6 linked regions of the Ovis aries genome follow. The protein of the gene in region 4 interacts with the protein of the main gene of each other region in a pairwise test. Links are inferred from orthologs where the notes say so. Each region holds a gene or a part of one and is shown on either strand. Other genes may lie near its edges.

Evidence for each region.
Region 1: the proteins of THAP7 (region 4) and CCNDBP1 interact in binary tests that used the Homo sapiens proteins (3 or more experiments, as listed by UniProt). The two-hybrid records come from large-scale screens. The link is inferred for Ovis aries from reciprocal best matches to the Homo sapiens genes THAP7 and CCNDBP1.
Region 2: the proteins of THAP7 (region 4) and LZTS2 interact in binary tests that used the Homo sapiens proteins (3 or more experiments, as listed by UniProt). The two-hybrid records come from large-scale screens. The link is inferred for Ovis aries from reciprocal best matches to the Homo sapiens genes THAP7 and LZTS2.
Region 3: the proteins of THAP7 (region 4) and GOLGA2 interact in binary tests that used the Homo sapiens proteins (3 or more experiments, as listed by UniProt). The two-hybrid records come from large-scale screens. The link is inferred for Ovis aries from reciprocal best matches to the Homo sapiens genes THAP7 and GOLGA2.
Region 5: the proteins of THAP7 (region 4) and PIN1 interact in binary tests that used the Homo sapiens proteins (3 or more experiments, as listed by UniProt). The two-hybrid records come from large-scale screens. The link is inferred for Ovis aries from reciprocal best matches to the Homo sapiens genes THAP7 and PIN1.
Region 6: the proteins of THAP7 (region 4) and LURAP1 interact in a two-hybrid assay, tested with the Homo sapiens proteins (2 studies listed by BioGRID and IntAct). The two-hybrid records come from large-scale screens. The link is inferred for Ovis aries from reciprocal best matches to the Homo sapiens genes THAP7 and LURAP1.

Annotation. Positions count from the first base shown.
Region 1 is NC_056060.1:36,639,191-36,643,322, forward strand, and holds the start of CCNDBP1 (cyclin-D1-binding protein 1), read left to right. Parts: upstream 1-1,332; 5' UTR 1,333-1,381; coding exon 1,382-1,490; intron 1,491-1,663; coding exon 1,664-1,723; intron 1,724-2,008; coding exon 2,009-2,088; intron 2,089-3,846; coding exon 3,847-3,928; intron 3,929-4,132. Other genes in the region: TMEM62 (transmembrane protein 62), read left to right, coding at 335-661. UniProt on the Homo sapiens protein: May negatively regulate cell cycle progression. May act at least in part via inhibition of the cyclin-D1/CDK4 complex, thereby preventing phosphorylation of RB1 and blocking E2F-dependent transcription.
Region 2 is NC_056075.1:21,603,285-21,606,784, forward strand, and holds the end of LZTS2 (leucine zipper putative tumor suppressor 2), read left to right. Parts: coding exon 1-536; intron 537-1,055; coding exon 1,056-1,304; intron 1,305-2,102; coding exon 2,103-2,786; 3' UTR 2,787-3,452; downstream 3,453-3,500. UniProt on the Homo sapiens protein: Negative regulator of katanin-mediated microtubule severing and release from the centrosome. Required for central spindle formation and the completion of cytokinesis.
Region 3 is NC_056056.1:8,025,803-8,029,302, forward strand, and holds the end of GOLGA2 (golgin subfamily A member 2), read left to right. Parts: intron 1-203; coding exon 204-449; intron 450-531; coding exon 532-607; intron 608-859; coding exon 860-948; intron 949-1,229; coding exon 1,230-1,448; intron 1,449-1,540; coding exon 1,541-1,643; intron 1,644-1,735; coding exon 1,736-1,842; intron 1,843-1,915; coding exon 1,916-2,069; intron 2,070-2,157; coding exon 2,158-2,372; 3' UTR 2,373-3,126; downstream 3,127-3,500. UniProt on the Homo sapiens protein: Peripheral membrane component of the cis-Golgi stack that acts as a membrane skeleton that maintains the structure of the Golgi apparatus, and as a vesicle thether that facilitates vesicle fusion to the Golgi membrane.
Region 4 is NC_056070.1:72,373,248-72,377,117, reverse strand, and holds THAP7 (THAP domain-containing protein 7), read left to right. Parts: upstream 1-1,371; 5' UTR 1,372-1,411; intron 1,412-1,561; coding exon 1,562-1,641; intron 1,642-1,877; coding exon 1,878-2,033; intron 2,034-2,431; coding exon 2,432-2,569; intron 2,570-2,751; coding exon 2,752-3,304; 3' UTR 3,305-3,370; downstream 3,371-3,870. Other genes in the region: tubulin alpha-3 chain, read left to right, coding at 588-884. UniProt on the Homo sapiens protein: Chromatin-associated, histone tail-binding protein that represses transcription via recruitment of HDAC3 and nuclear hormone receptor corepressors.
Region 5 is NC_056058.1:12,295,884-12,298,488, forward strand, and holds the end of PIN1 (peptidyl-prolyl cis-trans isomerase NIMA-interacting 1), read left to right. Parts: intron 1-557; coding exon 558-668; intron 669-1,484; coding exon 1,485-1,594; 3' UTR 1,595-2,105; downstream 2,106-2,605. UniProt on the Homo sapiens protein: Peptidyl-prolyl cis/trans isomerase (PPIase) that binds to and isomerizes specific phosphorylated Ser/Thr-Pro (pSer/Thr-Pro) motifs.
Region 6 is NC_056054.1:20,793,500-20,797,658, reverse strand, and holds the start of LURAP1 (leucine rich adaptor protein 1), read right to left. Parts: upstream 2,801-4,159; 5' UTR 2,703-2,800; coding exon 2,505-2,702; exon of another isoform or gene 2,499-2,504; intron 1-2,498. UniProt on the Homo sapiens protein: Acts as an activator of the canonical NF-kappa-B pathway and drive the production of pro-inflammatory cytokines. Promotes the antigen (Ag)-presenting and priming function of dendritic cells via the canonical NF-kappa-B pathway.

The sequences.
Region 1 (4,132 bases), on a different chromosome or scaffold from region 4:
TATTGATATCCAAGTTCCCCCCTCACGCTACCCCCCCAAAAAAAGTACTGTATATATATGTATGTGTGTGTGTGTTTGTACATAGACATATGTATTCATTTCTACCTTAAACATTTGAGAGCTTCAACAGAAATGAAATGACACTTGCCTTTAAGATGAACAAAAGGATGCAGGCAAATAAACAACTAAGGACACAAGTGTGATTAAAGTATAAAGTATCAGTTAACCCCCAAGAGAGCAAGCAACATATTTTTAGGAGCCACCAATAATATGTTAGTGAGACCTGACCCCACCAGGGCTTAATAAGCTAATGGTTCTGTTCTGTTCTTTCCAGCTGGTGTTTTTTAACATCCCCTTGATGGGTTACCTGTGTTGGATTTTGCTGCAGCGGTGCTTTGGTCACAGCTTCAGGTCTCATCTCCATCAAGGAAAATACTTGAAAATTATACCTGTTCACCTACTTATGTTACTGCTGTACATCTGGCATATTTATTCCTGCTACTTTCTTCACGTGACATATGGCACTCTAGCTTTTTTATTCTCCCCTTTACGGACCTGGTTGACACTGGCGACACCTGTTCTCATTCGTTGTGTTTGGACAGTGAACTCTGCTAAGCTTGGAACCTTCATAGTGCAGTTAAAAAGCCATTTGAGCTCCTGAAGTCTGTATCTCCTCATCCACCTCTGTAGCCCAGGCCTCTGCCTCAGCAGCAGGTAAAAGGCCAGTATTGATGGGCAAACATCAGGGAGCTGCTGTTCCTTGGACACCTGGGAGTTGGGGGGAATTACCTACTACTGATTCTTGCAGAATGGACTGCAGAAAACTATATAATGCCGTGATTCCTCCCTTCCTCAAGAAGGTAAAGGGTTGATTTACTTTTGTGAAGAGAAAGCTTTTATCTAGGAGATCCACAGGGCAGGGGCTGGTGGATAAGGGAGTATCTGAGGCCCACTCAGTGTGTTTTTTAGATACCTCATGTAAAGTACCTAGCACAGTGTCTGGAACTTGGCAGCCTGTAAGGAGGCCACTTTAGGGACAGGGAACGTGCAAACTTGGACCTGACCCTGACTACCCTTGTTTAGTTCCTAGTCCTTTTTTCGACAGGATTATGGGCTCTCTGCTTCCTCAGTCGGGGGTGTTTTCAACTAATCAAATACCAATAAATGAATAAGAAACAACTCGGTCTGGGTCTTGCCTGTGTCGCTAGGAGCGGGAGCGAGGCGGGGCTTTTGAGAGCGGAAGGGGTGTGGCTGGGCTTCCGAGGCGGGGCAGGTTGTTGCCGGAAGCGAAACCGTGGCCTGGAAGAGGAGCTGCGACAGCGGTGCGGCTCCGGAAGCTGTTGTGGGGGCTTGGTCCGCTGGCTCCAAACGCGGTACTGGGATGGAGAGCGCAGCTGTATCTGCAGCCCCAGACCCCACCCTGGATCCGCCTCTGGAACAGCTTCGGCACCTAGCCGGGGAGCTGCGGCAGTTGCTTCCTGGAGTGCGGGGTGAGCTGACTTAGTGAGGCCGGGTGACCGCAGGGGCGGGCTTGGGTGGGAAGGAGCCAGGCCTTGGCGGCCGCGGCGCCGGGTCCGGGCAGAGGAGGTGGGTCCGGGAGGTCGTTCCGCTTACCTGTGCTCTTTCGTTTGTCGCCGTCCGGCGCACACCCCGCACCCACTAGTCGGCGAAGCCCAGGAAACCACCAAGGAGTTTGATCGGGAGGCCTTTTGGAGAAGACTCAGTGAGTGCCTCTCCTATTGGAGACTGCTGTCTCTCATCTCTTCCCTACTCCTTTCCTTCCTGCTTCCCCCCCGCCCCAGCCTCTCTGCGGGGATACTCCTTACCTATCCTTGGTATCTCCGAGGTTGAAATATAAAACACTGATTTTTGGAGGTGTTTTTGAGACGTCTCAGCGGGCATGGGTGGAGAGGGAACGCATTATCTTCAAGGTCCGTGCAGCCGTTGCAGCCTTTTCCTTTTGGCACTAACATATTGGCTCTTGCCGCCTGCTCTGTCACTCCCCCAGATGAGGCAGCTGTGACAGTGTCAAGGGAAGCCACGACTCTGACCGTAGCCTTCTCTCGACTTCCGCTGCCGTCTCCACAGGTGGGCTTCACTTTTCTAGGATTCTTGTGCTGCTCAGTATTCCTTAAGAAGCCTCTCATTTTCTTTCCACCTTTTACACTCAAATCTGGGGATTTAATTTCCTCATCTGTCGAGTAAGGTGAAGGTTCTCACTCCACAGGATTGTTCTGAAGATCAAATTGTCAAATGCAGTAGTTGTCATGGGGTAGATGGCTCTTCTAAATATTGGTTCATTCTGAGGTCCATCCTGGTTATTTCCTTTCTGGCATTTTAAAATATACTTTCTATTTGCTAAGTGTTTTCACATACATGATCCTTTTCTGACAGATGAACAGGCAGGCTCAGAGGCTCAGTTTAAGGTAGATAAGTAGTGGAGCTAGGACTTAAATTAGGTTCTATCTGATGTTTGAGCTCCACCTTTTCTATTATACTACATAATACTCTTTTGTACTGAATTATTTTTATGCTATTATATATATTATATATTATTATATTTATATATAATAATGTAGACAGTATAAGGTTCAAAAGATATCAAAGTTAAATGTGCTAAAAAGCTTATATCTCCTGTCTTTGGTTCCTTTTGTATCATTCCATATATATGCTATGCATATTCACACTTAAGTGCATATGGCTGCTGCTTTTTACACAAGTGATAATAGTTTCTGTTGAGAAATCAGCTGGTAACCTTATGGGAGTTCTCTTGTATGTTATTTGTCACTTTTCCCTTGTTGCTTTTAATATTTTATCTTTGTCTTTAATTTTTGTCAATTTGATTACCCTGTACATGCTCAGGACAGTGGTTTTTTCATTCGTAGATGAAAAATTAAAATATGGCTTTATATGAATTATATATATTTGAATCACAGTTGCTTTCTTAGGATCTCAGCACATTAATTCTGCCAAAGAATTTTTTTTTTTTTTTTGATTCCAGTCCTTACAACGTGGTATTTTTACAAAATTATATGTTTGGATGTTGAAACAATGTCACATTGGTGTAAAAGTTTCTGAGTACTCTCAATCTTTGTACCTATCCATCTCAGACTGGTGACAGATCATTTATGGACTGGCACCATCTGTAGACCACATTTTGCATAGCACTGGCTTGGAATTTAGCAGAGCAGTGAGGACAAGGAAGATAAGGGAAAGCCAGTGACTGCCTAGAAGGAAAATAGTCAGCATTGAGCATTGTAGAGTCCATGCTAATTTCCTTTAGGTATACTGAAATTCTGTTAGAGACAGAGGCAGAGAGATAGACAACTGGTTAATGGTCTAAGATAGAGCTGACAACTTTTCTGTCAAAGGCCAAATAGTAAACATTTTAGGCTTTGCAGTCCAGCTACTCCACTCTGCCTCTGTAGTGTGAATACTATTATAGACAATTTGTAAACGCATGAGTGTGGCTGTGTCCTAGAAACATTTTATTTGCAAAAACGGGCAGTGAGCCTGATTGGGCCCTTGGGCTCTAGTTTGCCAACTCCTGGTCTAAGATATGGTGAATACCTCAAAGCTGATCACAGATATCTTGGGATATAGAGTATCAGGGATGTTTTTCCTACAGTTTCTTCTTGTCTTACTGAGTTTCTGCTCAGTACTTGGTATCCAGCTAACTCCTCCCTGGTATGTGATGAGAACAGCACAGCCTGATGCATAATAGGACTTCAGAAAATGTTTGATGATGCTGTACAGATGTCTGCTCTTTTCCCCTGTAGATGGCTTGACCACATCAATCTAATCCATTTCTTTTTTTCTTTCTGAAATTGGCTTATCATCTCCTAGGAAACGCAGAGGTTCTGTGAACAAGTGCGTGCTGCCATCAAGGCAATTATTGCAGTGTACTATTTGTTTCCCAAGGATCAGGGTAAGCCACTCCATACACATAAGTGTTCAGTTTATGGGGTAGATCTTTGCTATTGTGACAGCTTATGTCCTGAGAATTTTACCTTTTCCTCAATTTGATCATGTAATGTAACTTTCTCCCATTAAGTGCAGTCAAAGGTAGTTATATAAGTGACCTCCATAAGTAAGCCTTTGTGCTAAAGTTCAGATACTGTGTTCTCATGTC
Region 2 (3,500 bases), on a different chromosome or scaffold from region 4:
TAACGCAGCTGTTCGGGGGCCCGGCCTCCTCCTCCTCTTCCTCCTCCTCCTCGGCTGCCGACAAACCCCTGATACTGAGTGGCTGGGCCAGCGGCTGCCCATCGGGGACTCTGTCTGACTCTGGCCGAAACTCATTGTCCAGCTTGCCCACTTACAGCACCGGGGGTGCCGAGCCGGCTACCAACTCCCCAGGCGGGCACCTGCCCTCCCACGGTCCTGGGCGGGGCGTCCTGCCGGGGCCAGCCCGAGGAGCCCCCACCGGGCCCTCCCACTCAGACAGCGGCCGATCTTCCTCCAGCAAGAGCACAGGCTCCCTGGGGGGTCGCATGGCTGGGGGGCTCTTGGGCAGCGGTCCCCGGGCCTCCCCTGACAGCAGCTCTTGTGGGGAACGCTCCCCACCACCGCCCCCACCCCCTCCACCCCCTTCGGACGAGGCCCTGCTGCACTGTGTCCTGGAAGGAAAGCTCCGAGACCGGGAGGCAGAGCTGCAGCAGCTGCGGGACAGTCTGGACGAGAGTGAGGTGACCATGTGCCAGGTGTGGTCAGTGGCAGTGATGGGGGTGGCATGGCAGGACATCCACAGGTGCTGGGCATACAAGATGCATTTCTGTCTGTCAAGAGGCAGGTGTTGGGCTGGTGACCCCCATCCCCACCCCAGCTGTCTGGCTTAAACTGTAGAGTGGTTAACACGGCACCACCATATACTGTCTTTCAGACTTGAGCACGTTACTCAGTTGTACTGAGCCTCAGTTTCCTCACCATAAATGGGGATATTCCTGACCTGAGGGTTATCATTAAGGATTAAGCAGGGAAAAGGGTGTAAAGTGCTTAGATCAATGCCTGGCACCTGGGAAGTCCCACACGCTTGCTATTGTTGTCTTTTCATAAAAGTAGTTGTTACTGTTGGTATCCTAGTTATTGTCACTGTTGAATCCACCTTCCCTGAGCCCAGGACAGTGGGCCACCAGGGCAGTTGGTGACTGGGGTGCTGGGGGTGGCCAGGGTTCGAGGTGTGGGGGAGCCTCCAGGACCCAGGCCTGCCCTCTCGCCCGCAGGTGTACGAGGAGCGGCAACGGCACTGGCCCCGTGAGCGAGAGGCTCTGCGAGAGGATGGTGTGGCCCGGGCCCAGCGGGCCCAACAGCTGCTGCAGCTTCAGGTGTTCCAGCTGCAGCAGGAGAAGCGGCAGCTGCAGGACGACTTTGCGCAGCTGCTGCAGGAACGTGAGCAGCTGGAGCGGCGCTGCGCCGCCTTCGAGCGGGAGCAACGGGAGCTCGGGCCACGGCTAGAGGAGACCAAGTGGGAGGTGAGCTGTACCAGGAGGAGCAGGGAGCAGGGCCTTCAGTGAGGGGGTAAGGCTTGAAAGGAGGGGCCCAGCCACATCCCTTCACCTGCCATCCCCAGAGGGCCTCCCCTTGCTCACCTTTGTGAGATGAGGCTCCGCCCTCTGACCTCCCTTTCTGGGTAGGGGTCTCCTTGGGGGCCTCCACGTTCGTTCTCCTCATGGCTCTGCTCTAAGTGCTCAGGTAGCCAGTGACATTCCCATCCACTGCCTTCCCACCAATGGTAAGAATGAGAATGTAGTGCTTACTCCTTGACAGGTACTGCTACTCGAAGCATGTAACGTAGAGTATCGTCTAATCCTTGTAATAACCCTGTGAATTGGGTGCTGTTCACACCCTCATTTCGTCGGTGAGGCAAAGGAGACCCAGAAGGGATGGAGCCTGAGATCACACTCCACACACAGTGGCGGAGCTGAGATCTGAACCCAGGCAGTCCGGCTCTAGTTAGCATCTATGCTTTCCACCAAGATACTGTTGTGCCTCCCAACTGGAAATGCAGCCACTGCCCTTTGCTGCTTCCACTCCTGCCAAACCCGCATGAAGCTGGTGTTTCATGATGGTTTAAAGACCCCAGCTTTGAAACCAGAATAAGATCTGGGTCTATATTCCACCTTAGCCAATGAATAGCTGCCTCAGTGTCTTCATCTGTAAAATAGGTACAGTGATCAAACTGCCTCTCCCCAAATGCCCAGCTTGATGTCAGGGCCTGGCCACCTGGGAGAACCTTCTCACCATCTTTTCCAACTGTCTCCTACCCCTAGGTGTGCCAGAAGTCAGGTGAGATCTCCCTGCTGAAGCAGCAACTGAAGGAATCTCAGGCAGAGCTGGTACAGAAGGGCAGCGAGCTGGTGGCCCTGCGCGTGGCACTGCGGGAGGCCCGGGCAGCGCTTCGGGTCAGTGAGGGCCGGGCACGGGGCCTCCAGGAGGCGGCCCGAACACGGGAGCTGGAGCTGGAGGCCTGTTCCCAGGAGCTGCAGCGGCACCGTCAAGAGGCTGAGCGGCTGCGGGAGAAAGCTGGGCAGTTGGACAGTGAGGCCGCCGGACTCCGGGAACCCCCTGTGCCACCTGCCGCTGCTGACCCATTCCTCCTGGCAGAGAGTGATGAGGCCAAGGCACAACGGGCCGCCGCCGGGGTCGGGGGCAGCCTACGGGCCCAGGTGGAGCGGCTCCGGGCGGAGCTACAGCGGGAGCGGCGGCGAGGCGAGGAGCAGCGGGACAGCTTCGAGGGGGAGCGGCTGGCCTGGCAGGCAGAGAAGGAGCAGGTGATCCGCTACCAGAAGCAGCTGCAGCACAACTACATCCAGATGTACCGACGTAACCGGCAGCTGGAGCAGGAGCTGCAGCAGCTCAGTCTGGAGCTGGAGGCCCGGGAACTCGCGGACCTGGGCCTGGCGGAGCCAGCGCCCTGCATCTGCCTGGAGGAGATCACTGCCACCGAAATCTAGGGCCTTAGCACCCGCCTCTGCATGGAGGTCTACTGAAAGCAGGCAGCAGCCTCAGATCCCCCGAGGGTCCCAGAGTCTGAGGGCCCAAGGGCCTTTAGTCCCTGGGGTGCAGGCCTCTGGGCCTCTGCCAAGGACTCAGGGCTGCCCGATGACTTGGATCAGACTCCCTGAAGGTCCCTGTGTCCACTGTTACACAAAGGCTCCTACTCACTCCACCTATTTCATTCACTCCCCAAATACTGCCATTGCTACTCTGCCAACCCCACACACCCCCAGCACTCCCAGCCTGTTCAGCCAGGGGGCTTGGAAAAGGAAGGGGCTCCCTCATCTCCACATGCTCCCCACCATCCCAAAGCCAGAGTGAGCCAGATAGCGCCAGCTGCTCCAGATGTGCCTGCCCCCAACCCTGCCCATTTTGGGGGACAGGGCTGGGACTGGGGTCTGATCTCCAGGTCCCAGCTCTGCAGCCCCTCTCCTGGGGAGAGGGGGCTGTAGTCAGACCAAAGGAAGAACTCAGAAATGTTTATTTGTGTTTGTGACCAAGTGGCCCCTCCCCACACCCAGGTTTTTGGCCTCGTTTTTCACTTGTATATTTTTCACATTGTAAATTTCTTGTACAAACCCAAAGAAAAAAATTAAAAAAAATTTTTTTTTGTTTTTAAAAAAGGATGAGTGTGGTGGATAAAGATTAGGGGAACTTGTTTGACCCCCGTG
Region 3 (3,500 bases), on a different chromosome or scaffold from region 4:
TGAAGGCGGCACGGGGCTCTGGATGAGGAAGCCGGGACCCGGGCAACCGGCAAAGCCCTGTGCAGTGTCCGTCTCCGGCTGAGGGGTCTGTGCCCGGCCTCCCCGGCCCAGGGGCTCAGACTGTGGAAGCAAGCCACCCCCTGCCCTCAGCCCCCAGGGTCATCACCCCGCCCCTGCCCTCACCCCCCGGGGTCTGCCCGCAGGTGGAGGTGAAGCGCCAGGAGGTTCAAGATCTGCAGCAGCAGCGGGACGAGTACCTGAACCACCTGCAGCATTACGTGGCCGCCTGCCAGCTGCATGTGGCCGCCTACCAGCAGCTGGCCTTGGAGAAGGAGGCGCTGCACAAGCAGATGCTACTGCAGACCCAGCTCATGGACCGGCTGCAGCACGAGGAAGTCCAGGGCAAGGTGGCGATGGAGGTGGCCCGCCAGGAGTTACAGGAGACCCAGGTGAGGGCGTCGGGACGCTGGGCCCCTGAGAGGGAAGGCCTGCGGCCTGTGTCCCTCCTCACTCTCTTCCCTGGCCCCTTAGGAGCGCCTGGAAGCTGCCAACCAGCAGAACCAGCAGCTTCAGGCCCAGCTGACCATCATGGCTGTGCCTGGGGAAGGTCAGTGGGGAGGCCTGGAGGGAGGACACTGGCCTGAGGAGCAGGGGGACGTCTGGCAGCATGGCACCGAGTTGTTTTTCAGCCCTGAGTTAGATGAGGCCATGGGGACGGTGGGTCCTCTTCCCCCGGCCACTGGCTAGCCCAGGGCTGCAGAGTGAGGTTGGGGGCAGAGCTGGGCTCTGAGCTTTCTTCCAGGCCTGCTCCGCCTCCGTGGTTGGGGGGGTCTGAAGACCCCCTGTCTGTCCCCAACAGGAGACGGACTGGACAGTGAGGAGCAGGATGAGGAGGCTCCAAGGCCTAAGCTGAGTGTGCCGGAGGAGCTGGAGAGCCGAGAGGCCCTGGTGAGCGGACCTCCCCACTCCTCGCCTGTCTCACTCCCCCCACCGCCACCCTACCCCATCCCCAGCGGTTCCTCTCAGACACTCTTCTTTGCGGTTTCTTCCCTCCATCTCTGGTCGTCCCCCAACCTCCCCTGGGAGCCGTGGTCAGCCAGCGTGTCATCCTCCAACCACAGGCGTGCGCCCCGAGACCCTGAGAAGAGGCATGTCTCTCTGCCTGCCCGCCCACCCCTCTCTGGTCCTGTGTGTCTGCCACAAAAGCACGTGTGCCCTCTCCCCCGCAGGTGGAATTTTTCCACTCGGCCTTGGCCAGTGCTGAGGATGAGCAGGCCCGGCTACGCGGGCAGTTGAAGGAGCAGAAGCTACGCTGCCAGCGCCTCTGTAACCTGGCAGCCGCAGCCCAGGATGGGGTGGAAAAGGAGGCCCCCGCCCCCAGGACTGGGGGAGACAGTGTGCCCGCGGAGGCGCACCAGGCCCTCCAAGTGGCCATGGACAAGCTGCAGGTGCGTGAGCTGCCCCCCAGTGGGGTCCAGGAAGGGTGGGGGCCCCTGTGGGCAGGTCGCTGCTGAGCCCTGACCCTGCCCTCTGGCGTTAGGGCCGCTTTACGGAGCTCATGCAGGAGAAAGTAGATCTGAAGGAGCGGGTGGAGGAGCTGGAGCATCGCTGTATCCAGCTATCTGGAGAGACGGACACTATTGGTGAGTGGGGAGGCTCGGCCCGGGGCGGGGGGCTGGATGCGGGCAGCACCACATTGCCTCTGAGCCACGTCTGCCCTCCCCACCTCCTGCAGGAGAATATATCGCCCTCTATCAGAGTCAGAGGGCCGTACTGAAAGCCCGCCATCAGGAGAAGGAAGAGTACATTAGCCGGCTGGCTCAGGACAAGGAGGAGATGAAGGTAGGGGTCCTTCTGCCCGTCTCTACAGGCCGGGGTGGGGTGCGGCGGGGCTGCTGAGTACTTCTCCCTCCAGGTGAAGCTGTTGGAGCTCCAGGAACTGGTTTTATGCCTGGTGGGTGAACGAAATGAATGGTATGGCAAATTCCTGGCTGCCCAGAAACCTGCTGGTGAGCCCACTACAGCACCCCACACCTGCCAGGAGCCCAGCACTGCTGACAATGAGGGTGGTGAGTAGTAGCACCCTTGGGGTACTGGAGGGCAGGCAGGGGTGAGCTGGCACACCACTCTAAGCTCTGCTGCCCTCTCTCCCCAAAGGCCTCCAGGAGGTGAGCCTCGCCGACAACGTGGAGCCCCCCCAGGGGGCCCTGCAGGGCCAGACCACCCCTGAAAACCCCACCGCGCAGCAGATCATGCAGCTGCTGCGTGAGATCCAGAACCCCCAGGAGCACCCAGGCTTGGGTAGCAACGCTTGCATCCCCTTCTTCTACCGAGCTGACGACAATGACGAAGTGAAGATCATGGTGATCTAGTGGCCTGACACCGGCAGGCAGAGACCACAGACATGGGGCCGGGGGCTTTGCCCCCACCTGTCCCTGCCTCCTTGTCCCTCTTTCCTCCCCCCCCCCCATCCCTAGACTAGCACGCTGAAACCCTTGAAGAAAGGGGTATAAGCCCCCCGTCAAATGAGGGGAAACAAACAGGTGCAGGCCCCTTGCCATCTTGGCCAGGGCTGTGTCTTGATATCTGGACTGCTACTAGTTCCAGAGAGAAACAAAGAGCCAGAGGCTCAATTAAAGGCAGTTTATTTAAGAGGCGGGCCTTCTTGGGGAGCAGGGGCTCCCTGGTGGCTTCCTCACCCCTACCAAGCAGTCCTTTCAGAGGGGCTCATGCATCCTCTATTCAGAGGCACTTTGGGGCCAAGTGCCCCCTCCTTGCCCAGCTTGACAACTGGGCAGCACTCTCACAGGCCTTGGGACAGTTGGGCAAATTGAGGCCAAGCAAGAACATAAGCTGGTGGCGGAGTGGGCTCCCTCCCCAGTGTTTATACTGTAACTCTGTAACATTTTGTATATTCTGGAGGTAGGGCAGCGCCCCTGTATCTCAGCAGAGGTTGGAGCTGGTGAATGGGGAGGAACTTCTATTAAATATTTGGGGCTGGGGAAACTTATTTATTAATAGTATAGGGTAGAGAGAGAAGGTGGAGGCGGGGACGGGTTTGTGCCCGGGTGATTCGACTCCTATTTCGTTTCACTTTTTATTTCTGAATAAATGAATTTAGCCATACTGCTTGTCCTGGTGTGTGCCTTTTTTCTGTCTCTGGGTCCTGGGGTCTGTGCCATGAGCACTGAACAGGGAGCAGGTCCTGCCAACAGAGGGCAGGCTTCTAGTTGTGCCAATCTCCAGGGTGTCTGGGCACATCCAGTGGGGCTGTTAGAGATCTTTTGAGGCCTGTCACCCACTGCTGCCTGGTGAAGCCTGGGGGACCCCAGGGGAACTCCAAAGGGGCTCTCAGGGGCCATCCTGCCTTAATAGCGGAGTGACTCGAAGTTGGATCTGATCTCAGGGAGGGAAAGCAGAGTGCCGCAGCACCAAGTGCTGACTTCCAGCTCAAGTGTCCATTCCATCACCCTGTCCCTCCACAGTGTCTGGCTGGGCCG
Region 4 (3,870 bases):
CGGCTGGACCACCAGGGACGTCTTTTTTCTTCCATTCTTGGTTTGAGGAAGTTTCCTTTCAGTGCCCTTACTTTGACTTTTGGAAGGCAAGGCTGCCACCCAAGCCGTTGTCAGCTGGGCAGCGCTGTGTGGGGTGCCTGGCACTGCCCAGGCTTCCCCTCCTGGCCGGTCTGTGAGCCAGAGGGGAGGCCAGTCTGGGGAGGTACAGGAGGTCACACTGCTGTCCCCACGGAAGACAGTTCACCCCGACGGTGTCGAATCCTCACTTGTGAGTCTGGGTGTGGCGTCACGTGTTGACGACCGTCTGTCACCATTTTCCTGGAATCTTTCCCCACGTTTGTATTAGGTTTTCTCATTATAAAAGTGTGTATGTGGCAAGATATTTTAGTCATGCAGAAGGCTGAAAAGCTCAAGTCCCTTCTAGAAGTGAAAACGTGGGATATTAAACTGCCAGATCCTGCCGAAAAAGAGAGTACCCGTTCCTACAGGGCGTCGTCTGAAGTGGGTCCATGGCCCCCATGCTTAGAAACGAGCTACCATTTCCGAGGCCTCACTCCCAAGTTGAGCATGTTCTCTTTCTCCGGCAGGTGGGCATCAACTACCAGCCCCCCACGGTGGTCCCGGGGGGAGACCTGGCCAAGGTGCAGCGGGCCGTGTGCATGCTGAGCAACACCACGGCCATCGCCGAGGCCTGGGCCCGCCTGGACCACAAGTTCGACCTCATGTACGCCAAGCGCGCCTTCGTGCACTGGTACGTGGGGGAGGGCATGGAGGAGGGCGAGTTCTCGGAGGCCCGGGAAGACCTGGCGGCGCTGGAGAAGGATTACGAGGAGGTGGGCGTGGACTCGGTGGAGGCGGAGGCCGAGGAAGGGGAGGAGTACTGAGGGGGGGGCGCGGCCGCAGCCCTGCACCCGGTCCCCCGACGGCCCCTTCACAGATGTTTCCCTATTAAAGTTTTTGTGTTGAGCATCATCTGTGTATTGCTTTGCGGGAAACGGTGTTCCTCCCCACGGCAGTGTGGCGGCAGAGCCGCACGTCTGTCTGACTCTGCCGAGCGTCACCGGGCGCGTTAACCCGGGAAGGAGCGGGGGCGGAACCGGGACGCGCGCTCCACCTACACACGTCGGGTCAGCGAGCTCCTCGGGGCAGGAAGCGGACCCGAGCGGGTCTGCGGATCGGGGCCCGCATCGCGCGCCCCGGAGCAGCGGCGCTGGAGCCACCCCCAGCCCAGGGCAATCCCCGCTGCCGGCACCACCCGGATGCGGGCGGCCTGGGCGAGGCCCGCGGCCCCTCCCGCCGCTTCCGGGGCCCGCCCCTCAGCGAGCGCCGCGCGCTTCCGCGTCTCTATGGTCCCGACTTCCGCGGCTCGGCAAACCTCGCGAGACCTCGGCGGCGCCGCAATGGCGAGACCGTGAGTGCCGCAGACAGGAGTCGGAAGAGCGGGCTGGGGCGGGACTCGGCGAGGTCGGGCCGGGGAGACTCTCCAGGCCGCGGCCGCCGGAGCGGGGCGGCGGCCTGGACCCCGGCGGCCGCTGAGACCGAGCGCCCGCCTCTGCCCCAGATGCCGCGTCACTGCTCCGCCGCCGGCTGCTGCACACGGGACACGCGCGAGACGCGCAACCGCGGCATCTCCTTCCACAGGTCGGCGCGCAGGGCCGCTTGCGCATGCGCCCGCCCCGCCGCCGCGCACGCGCCTTCGCGCCGGGGGCGGGGCTCTGGCGGGGCGCGCAGCGGGCGGGGGCGGCGCCTGCGCTGCGCGAGGATGCCGGGCGGGCCTGTCTCCCCGGGAGCGCGCGGGCTGGGTTCGCAGGAGGTCCGCGGGCGGTATGAGCCGGGCGCACCTTCCCGTCGCGCTCACGGGCTCGCGGCCCCCGCAGGCTTCCCAAGAAGGACAACCCGAGGCGGGGTTTGTGGCTGGCCAACTGCCAGCGACTGGACCCGAGCGGGCAGGGCCTGTGGGACCCGGCGTCCGAGTACATCTACTTCTGCTCCAAGCACTTCGAGGAGAACTGCTTCGAGTTGGTGGGAATAAGGTGAGCCTCCTGGCAGCCGGCGGTCGGGAGGGCGTGAACATGGGGCGGGTGGCCGGTGGGGAGGCCGCCGGAGTAGCAGGTCTGGTGCTTCCCACCTCGTCACCTCAGCTTCCGCTCCAGGCGGACCTGGGCAGCGAGACCCTAGCCCCACGCCTGCCGCACTGGCCACAGGCGGAGCGCGCTCCCTGCAGCCCCAGCCCTCCCAGCAAAGGCGCGGAAGAAACCCGTCCTTCTGCCTGCTGCTCCGGTGGTGGGGGGGCCCTTAACTTGGGAAACTCCCTGAACTCATTGTCGGCACGCTGCCTCCCACTTCCTACGGAGCCAGGGTGGCAGGCTGCTCTGCCGCCTGCAGTGTGGCAGGACTGTGTTCCGTCTCATCCAGACCACTCTCCCCGCAGTGGGTATCACAGGCTGAAGGAGGGAGCAGTTCCAACCATATTTGAGTCTTTCTCGAAGTTGCGCCGGACCAAGACCAAGCGGCACGGTTACCCGCCGGGCCCCCCAGAAGTCAGCCGCCTGCGGCGATGCAGGAAACGGTACGTGCTGTCCCGCTGTACAGCCCCGGAGGGACCGGCCTGCAGGGTGCTGGCCAGCAGCCTTCCTGGGCGCGGCTGGGAGCCTGTGGAGTGGGCTCAGGGATGGGGGTGAGCGGGGCTGTGAAGCGGGTCAGGGCGCGCTGCGCCTGGCCCGGCGTGTCAGTCTGTTTGTCTCCTCCCAGCTGCTCTGAGGGCCCGGGGCCCACCGCTCCATTTTCCCCTCCTCCACCTGCTGACGTCGCCTGCTTTCCTGTGGAAGAAGCCTCAGCACCTGCGGTCTTGTCTGCCTCCCCAGCCGGGAGGCTGGAGCCTGGCCTCAGCAGCCCCTTCTCCGACCTTCTGGGGCCCCTGGGCGCCCAGGCAGATGAGGCGGGCTGCAGCGCCCAGCCCTCCCCAGAGCGCCAGCCGTCCCCCCTGGAGCCGCGGCCCGCCTCGCCCTCGGCCTACATGCTGCGCCTCCCGCCGCCCGCCGGCGCCTACATCCAGAGCGAGCACAGCTACCAGGTGGGCAGCGCCCTGCTCTGGAAGCGGCGGGCCGAGGCCGCCCTGGATGCCCTGGACAAGGCCCAGCGCCAGCTGCAGGCCTGCAAGCGGCGGGAGCAGCGGCTGCGGCTGCGGCTGACCAAGCTGCAGCAGGAGCGAGCGCGGGAGAAGCGGGCCCAGGCCGACGCCCGGCAGACGCTGAAGGAGCACGTGCAGGACTTTGCCATGCAGCTGAGCAGCAGCATGGCCTGAGGGGCCACCTGGACAGGGAGCTGCCCTGAGCCGTGTCTGCCACAATAAAGGGGATCCTCAAAAGAAGCCCTGCTCTCTGGCTCAGCGGAGCGTTGGGGCCCCGCCCCCTGGGTACCACGTCCATCTCCCCCGACTGGCTATAGCCCGCTAGAGGGCTCGACCCTGCAGTCGCGGTGATCCCCAAGCCCCCAGGCTGGCCGAGGCCCCCCTCACTCAGGCCGTTGCCGAACTTCCTGTGCCTCCAGGTGAGCGCCCCTCGACCGAGCCTGTCCACCCACCCGCCACCCCCAGGCCCGCCAGTCAGGCTGGAGGTGTGGCAGGCCCTGTGTGGATCCTGGGGGCACAACCTGAGGCAGGAAACGAGCTTTAAGGCTCAGAAGACTGTTTTCCCCTAAGTGGCTTCCTGGCAGCCTGGGCACAAGAGCTGTTGTTCCCAGAAGGGGGGCAGAATGGTGCCTTACCCACTGGGATGGACGCAGGGCAGAGGATGGGGAGGCCCAGCCCCGCCCAGGCAGGAACCTCCAGGCAGCTCAGGAGTACGGCAGCCAGCAAGGGGCCAGGAGAGG
Region 5 (2,605 bases), on a different chromosome or scaffold from region 4:
CTATGGCCTCCTGCCTCTAGAAAATTTTCCTTTTACTGCCTGAGGCGTCCCAGTGTCCCTTTTTATTTTTATTTTCTTGGCTGTGCTGCTGTGGGATCTTAATTCCCAACCAGGGGTCAAACCTGTGCCCCGTACGTTGGAAGCCCCGAGTCTTAACTGCTGGACCGCAGGGAAGTCCCCCAGTGCTCCTTTGTAACGTCCGTCCTGCCTTCTGTCCTCCCCAGCAGAGCCTGGAGGTAGACTTCCTCTCAGTGTGTGGGGGTAGGTAGAGGCCATGCCATGTTCATTATGTGTTCCTGTGTGTGTAGGGAGGGGGGTTACAGAGAAGGGGTTGTAGGACTGGGTAGGAGACCAGCTGCTCTTGAGGTCACCACAGGGTCATGGGGTGCATGCCTGTCATGGGTGTGTATGGCTCCGGCTGTGGTTGTGCATGCACGCTCATGCACACACGATTAGCAGGGGTTGCGGGCTCCTTTCTGAGTGAAGTGCTGCCCTGCCCGGAACCCTCCGCCCACCCCGCCCTGACGAGGAGGCCTCCCTTTGTGTCCCCCTTGCAGGCTACATCCAGAAGATTAAGTCTGGAGAGGAGGACTTTGAATCTCTGGCCTCACAGTTCAGCGACTGCAGCTCCGCCAAGGCCAGGGGAGACCTGGGTGCCTTCAGCAGAGGTGCGCAAAGAATGGGCACCCCTGAACCCCAGCAAGACCCTCTGACCCACTGGCACCTGCACCCCACCTAGAGGGATGGCCCGTGTCACACTGTCCCCTGGGGTCCACCAGGTGGCAGCAGAGTCCCTTCCTCAGGCTGCAGAGTCTTCTCCCCGGTGGTGGCATTTCTCTCGGGGTGGGGCATCCATCTGTGTGTGTCTCTGCTCAGTTGTCCCCATCACAGACCCACCAAGGTGGGTGCCTGCTGCCATTTCCCTCTCTTCCTGTTGAGGTGCAAAGCTGGGGCCCCTAAGAGTCCCAGAGCACATCCCCCAGAATCCTCTGCCCACCCTCCTGGGTGGAGAAACCAGGAGTGAGGGGAGGAGGGGGTCAGATCAGCAACCCTGCCAAGTTCAGGCCTCTCCACCTGGGACTGTGGGAAGGGAGGAGCAGAGGGAACCAGGCCGCCGCCGCCTCCCCCCTTCGTCCTGGGGTCTCTAGAGCATCAAGGAAGGGCCCAAAATAGGCTGAGGGGTGTTTGGGAGCCAGCAAGGGGCTGTGGGCCAGGGAGACCAGCTCCTCGGTAAAGCTCCTCTCTCAGTGCACAGAGGAGACAGCCACTGTGCCTCGTTCTTCATGCTGTCCTCAGCTTCCTGGGGCCTCCCTAATAGCCTTGCCACCCCCAGCTGCGCCCAGCTCAGGCGCCGTGGCAGGGCCGGAAAGTGCATGACGGATGAGTCAGAATGAGGGCCCTGGGGGCGCAGTGGGAGCCCCGTCTGCCCAGTCCCACCTGCAGGTCTGGACCCCACCCGCCACCTCTCCTGCTTCCTCCCCCAGGTCAGATGCAGAAGCCATTTGAAGACGCCTCCTTCGCGCTGCGGACAGGGGAGATGAGCGGGCCCGTGTTCACAGATTCGGGCATCCACATCATCCTTCGCACGGAGTGAGGGGTGTGGATGGCCCAGGCCTGGCCCCCTGGGGGAGACAGGTGGGACGGGGTGGCTGGGCCCGCAGACTCCGCTCCCTGCTGCCGGCCAACCAGTGGGGACCCCTCCCTTCTGTCACACAGTATTTATTGATCCCAGAATGGCTGGGAGGGGCCCCTTCACCACCGGGTGCTCCCTGTCCGCTCCTATTGGGGCTGTCCCTGCTAGACTCCCCTCCCCTTTAGGAATCGACTTCAGAAGGGCACAGGGTGGAGAGGCTCCCTGGGCTCCCAGGGCCAGGGTTGGGGGTGACCTGTCCCAAAGAGAAGGCCTAATTAGCTGAGCTGCCCCTGTGCCACCCCAGGTCCAGGATGGGGTCAGGTGGGCCTTGAGTTGTTGCTGGTTGGGCCGTGTTCCTCTGTTCAGTTGTAAAAAGCAGACGCTCTGCGTGGGGCCCAGGCTGCTGGCTGCTATGGGGCCTCTAAGCAGCCATGCAGCGCCTTCCCCACCCTTGATTAAACCTGGAACCACTGCTCTGCTGTCTGGCATTTCATTTCCCACCCCCAGGGCAGCGATCATCTCCCACCACCCCTGGTGTCAGGTGTCCAGGCCATGTTCCCTCCCTGGGAAGCTGCTCCTTTCCCTGGGCCTGGGGTGCTTCATAGCAGCAGCAGACTCTCAGGGAAGTGGAACAACCGCGGTCCTCAAACTTGGGTGTTCAGGAATGTTCCAGAATGCAAGGGCCCTGACCGCACAGCTCTGGGTTCAGCAGGTCAGGTGGAACAGGAGAATCCTCAGGGAACCCAAGTGAAGTCCCCGTTCACCCTTGGTGCTCTCGGTGCCGTGCCCCCCCAAACACACCCCACTTCAGTTGGAACAAAATACTCCCAACACTCCGATGCCCACTCCCCTGTCACCGTAAGCATTCTGCCAGGACCCGGGCACCTCTGCAGATGCTAATTCCATGGCAACGGGGGCCAGTGAGAGGGCACTGCCAGATGTCTCTGAGAGCAGGGGTCCTGCCCAGCCTTC
Region 6 (4,159 bases), on a different chromosome or scaffold from region 4:
GCAAAGCCAGGACTTGAACCCATGCCTTCTCTCTCTCTGCCTAAAGCTTTTTCTCAAACTGTTCTGTGGGGGTGGGTTGCCATAGCAACAGTTCTGTGGGTGGGAGGATTAAGTATGGGAGGTTGCCATTGTTTTCCCTTCCCACAGATCCCAGAGTCTGTCTGGTTCACTCAACTTTTAAGTAGGGGAGGGAAGTGGCCAAGAGGCAGGGATGACCTTGGCCTCAAGGACAGGCCTGCCCACTCCCTGCAGGAAAGCTGGGTGAGGGGCAGTTGAAGGACACTACTTACAGGGCTTGGACTAGTTCTGCCACAAGTGGCTCCAGGGGAACCCTCTCCCCGCAAATGCCCCACCCCTTGCCCTCCCCAGTGCAGAGTACATAGAGACCAAAGGCACCTTTGCAGGGGAGGGGAAAGGAATGGAGCAGGGCACTTGGGGAACCTCTCCCTGAGCAGGACCAGAAGGCTCCCTCCCTTGTGTCTTTCTTAGGGAGCCTTGGGCCCCAGGCCGGGCTGGGTCAGGAATGCAGAAAGACCCAAACAAAAGAGAAACTTATCCTTTCAAGTTTACCGATAGGTAATCTCCTCCAGGGCTTCCCAGGTGGTGCCAGTGATAAAGAATCCACCTGGCAATGCAGGAGACTGAGGAGTCCCCAGTTCGATCCCTGGGTCAGGAAGATCTCCTGGAGGAGGGCATGGCAACCCACTCCAGTATTCTTGCCTGGAGAATCACATGGACAGAGGAGGCTGGCAGGCTACAGTCCATGGGGTCACAAAGAGTCGGACACGACTGACGTGACTTAGCACACACGCAGTCTCCACCAAAGACAGGAAAGAGTTAAAGCCAGAGAGACCAGCCATGGCTCCTCCCCGTGCGAGCTCAGGCAAGCCCCTCAGCACCTGCAAGCCTGTTTCCTCTGTGAGAGGGGAAAACGATAACTGCTTTTCTCCCTCCAGTGACATAAAAGACATTTAGTGCATCTGGCACAAAGCAGGTCTCAATACTGAAAATGTAAAGTGCAGGCAAATCATCTGAATTCAAAACTTGGCTATACTTTCTACTTTTTGTCTGACTTTGGACAGCTACTTAGCCTCTCTGTGCCTCAGTTTCTTCATCTATAAAATATCCCTTACCTAATAAGTTTCCATGAGAACTAGGAGACTATCTTGTAAAATGTTCAGCATGATTCCTGGCACATGCACTTGGTGAAAGTTAGTTTCCAAAGCAAGACATTCTAAGTTAGCTCTTTCTCTGCCCTAAGCTAAAGTTTGTAGAGTGAGGCAAAGCCAGACCCCTCCCTTAGGTGGGCACAGTTACAACCCTACTGGGGAGAATCTGGCAATAGCTTCCAACCTTCAAGGCCAAATGCACACATGGCATTCAAATCCTTCCCCCAGGGAGCCTTCCCTGACTGCTTTGCCCACGAAACTCTCCTCCCATCCTTTCAGGAAGTCCCAAGACCTCCCTCCCAACGTCTCCCTACATACATACACACACACACACACACACACACACACACACACACACACACACCTCAGCATGGCACATACACCCCTCAGCATCACACACACACACACACACCCCTCAGCATGGCACAGAACTGGGCACAGTGGGGCTCCAGGAAGACCTATTAGCTGACACACTCACTGTGGGCTCCTGGTTCTAGGCCAGAAGGTAGCTGGCAATTCCTCAGTTCCCTAGAATTGGTTGCAAAGTGGTGGCAGGTGTAGATCACCCCCTTCACCGGAACCAGGGCCCTAGGGAGCCTGGGAGGCCCCAACTGCCCTTTTGGCTCTGAATCTAGAGCAGCAGCAACAGGGAAGGGGCTCGGTGCTGGTTTCCTCCTCTTCTCCCCAAGGAAGTGCAGATGAGATGCAAATCTCCAGTGTACTTGGGGGCTGGCAGGAAGGAGACAGGGTCTGAGGAGGTGAGGTCAACACTCTGGTGCTGCTCCTCCGTGTCTGCTAAGCTCCTAGGAACTTTCAAATATTGTCCGTGGGTGTGGGGGATGCTAGGGAAAGAGGATGTTTTTAGTGGCCCTAGTCCAGGCAGTTTTCACGCAAATCGCTTCTGTGCAGAGTGTTGGGGTGGATACTGGAGCCACAGAGGAACAAACCCCGGTCCCAGTTTGGAGGAGGAGAAAAAAACTGTTGCCCTGTAATGGTGGCTAGGGGGAAAGGAGGAGCTAGATTTGTGCCGTCCTAGGTTCTCAGGGCTTCCCAACCCGTACCTCTCCCCTCCCAATTATTTGGCAAAAAAAAAAAACACACACACAACTTACCAAATCCTGCACCTCCCACCCGGAGTCAATACTCCACTCACCCTTGGTGGGGAAGGCAATTAATGAACCCCAAGGATTAAAGATTGATCTGGTAGGAATACTGAGGAGTTAGGCAGGTGGTTTTAACTCCCTCCTCCCCAGCCCAACTCTGGGTACGCGAGTCCATCCTTTCCGGCCCCGCGCTGGAGACTCCGTCCCACTGGCCCGTGCAGCCCCCACTCACCAGCTCCATCCTCAGCGCCATGATCTTGTCCCCCAGGCTGTGGCCCGTGCTAGGGGCCCCGGAGAGCAGCAGAGCGCCAGAGGTTCCTGGCTCCCACTCGCCTCGCAGCCCACGGAGCAGCCCTTCAGGGGTCTTCCTGCCCACCTTGCCCTCCACGTCTCGCAGGTCAGGCGTCTGGGACTCCGCAGTCCCCTCCATGCGGGCCTAAGCCTGAACGGGATTGGGCAACCGGACGCCGGGATCCCGCTCCCGGCGGGGGGGGGGGGGTCCTCCTTTTTCGGCTGCTAGTGCCGGGCGGAACCGGTGGGTCCCCGCCCGCACTCTGTCGCGGAGGGAGGAGGGCGCCGTAACACTCAGAAAAGCGGCGCAGAGCTCGGTATGTGTGTGTTGAGTGTGGATCTTCGGGTGCTGCGCATACACCTCTGGCTCCGGAATGGGTGAGGCTGGGTGATGCTGAGTATGCACCTGAAGGCAACTCAGCGCCTTCTCCCGACTGTGGCGCTGAGTCCAGCCAGGCACTCAGCAGGCGCCCAATGAATGTTTGCTGAAGGAAGGTTAAGCACACTCAGTTAGGGAGGTGGGATTTTAAGGAAGAGTGCTAACAGAGCTACAGAGGGTTTTGGAAGCCTTCTTGGAGTAGATTCTTTCCCATCTAAGCCACCAGGGAAGCCCCTGGAGTAGAGGAGCTGGGTCTAAAACAGTGGCTGGAATTTAACTAGCCACCGACACACACACACACACACACGCACGCACGCACACACACGCACAAGCCACTAAATTTAGACTAAAGGAGAGGAAGTCAAGTTCTTTTGGCCAGTGAGGAGAAAATATTGAAGCTGATGATTCTTATACTGTACATATATGGATTATCTGGGAATCTTGTTAAAATGCAGATTATGATTTTGTAAATCTTGGGTAGGGCCAGAGATTCTGCATTTCTAACAAGCTCCCTGCTGATGGCCATGCGGCTGGTCCAGGGACCACATTTTGAGTAACAGATTTATAAAAGGTGGTTTTAATATGCTTGGATTTTATTCTGTGAGCAATGAGGATCCATAAAAACTTTTTATGCTCTGGCTTGATTTTGGTTTTTAATCCAAGTAATTCTGGTCCATGGCATAAAAGATAGTTACCCTGACCTATCCTTTCCCACATCTAGTTCCACTTCCCAGAGGCAACCACTTTTAGCTATTTTTTCCTGGTGTTTATACTCATAGCTCCACAATAGGCTTTTATCATCATCTCCTGATTTTAAACATTGTCTACTGACCTCCTATTATGATACATAAGATTTACTGCACATTCTATGCTTCCCTCCTTCCATTGGCCCTATTTCTATCATTATTTTTCAGCTTGTTATCTTTGTAACTTTAAGTAACGTACTTTTCTTTAGTATGCTTTGATCCATGAAAGGGTTTTAAATCAGAGACAGACAAAATAGATTTGCCTTTTTTGAAAAAATACTCTGGATTTTGCAAGGAGAATTAAAGGAGTAAATATCTGAAGTCAAGGAGACAAGGTAGAAGGCAAGAAACTAAAATGTCCTGGCCGGGGCTGGTTGTGAAGTTGGAAAAGAATTAGACCTGAATGGAGGAGGAATCTTTAGATGGCATGATGGACAAGACTTGATAACTAGTAACATTTGTTTATCTATA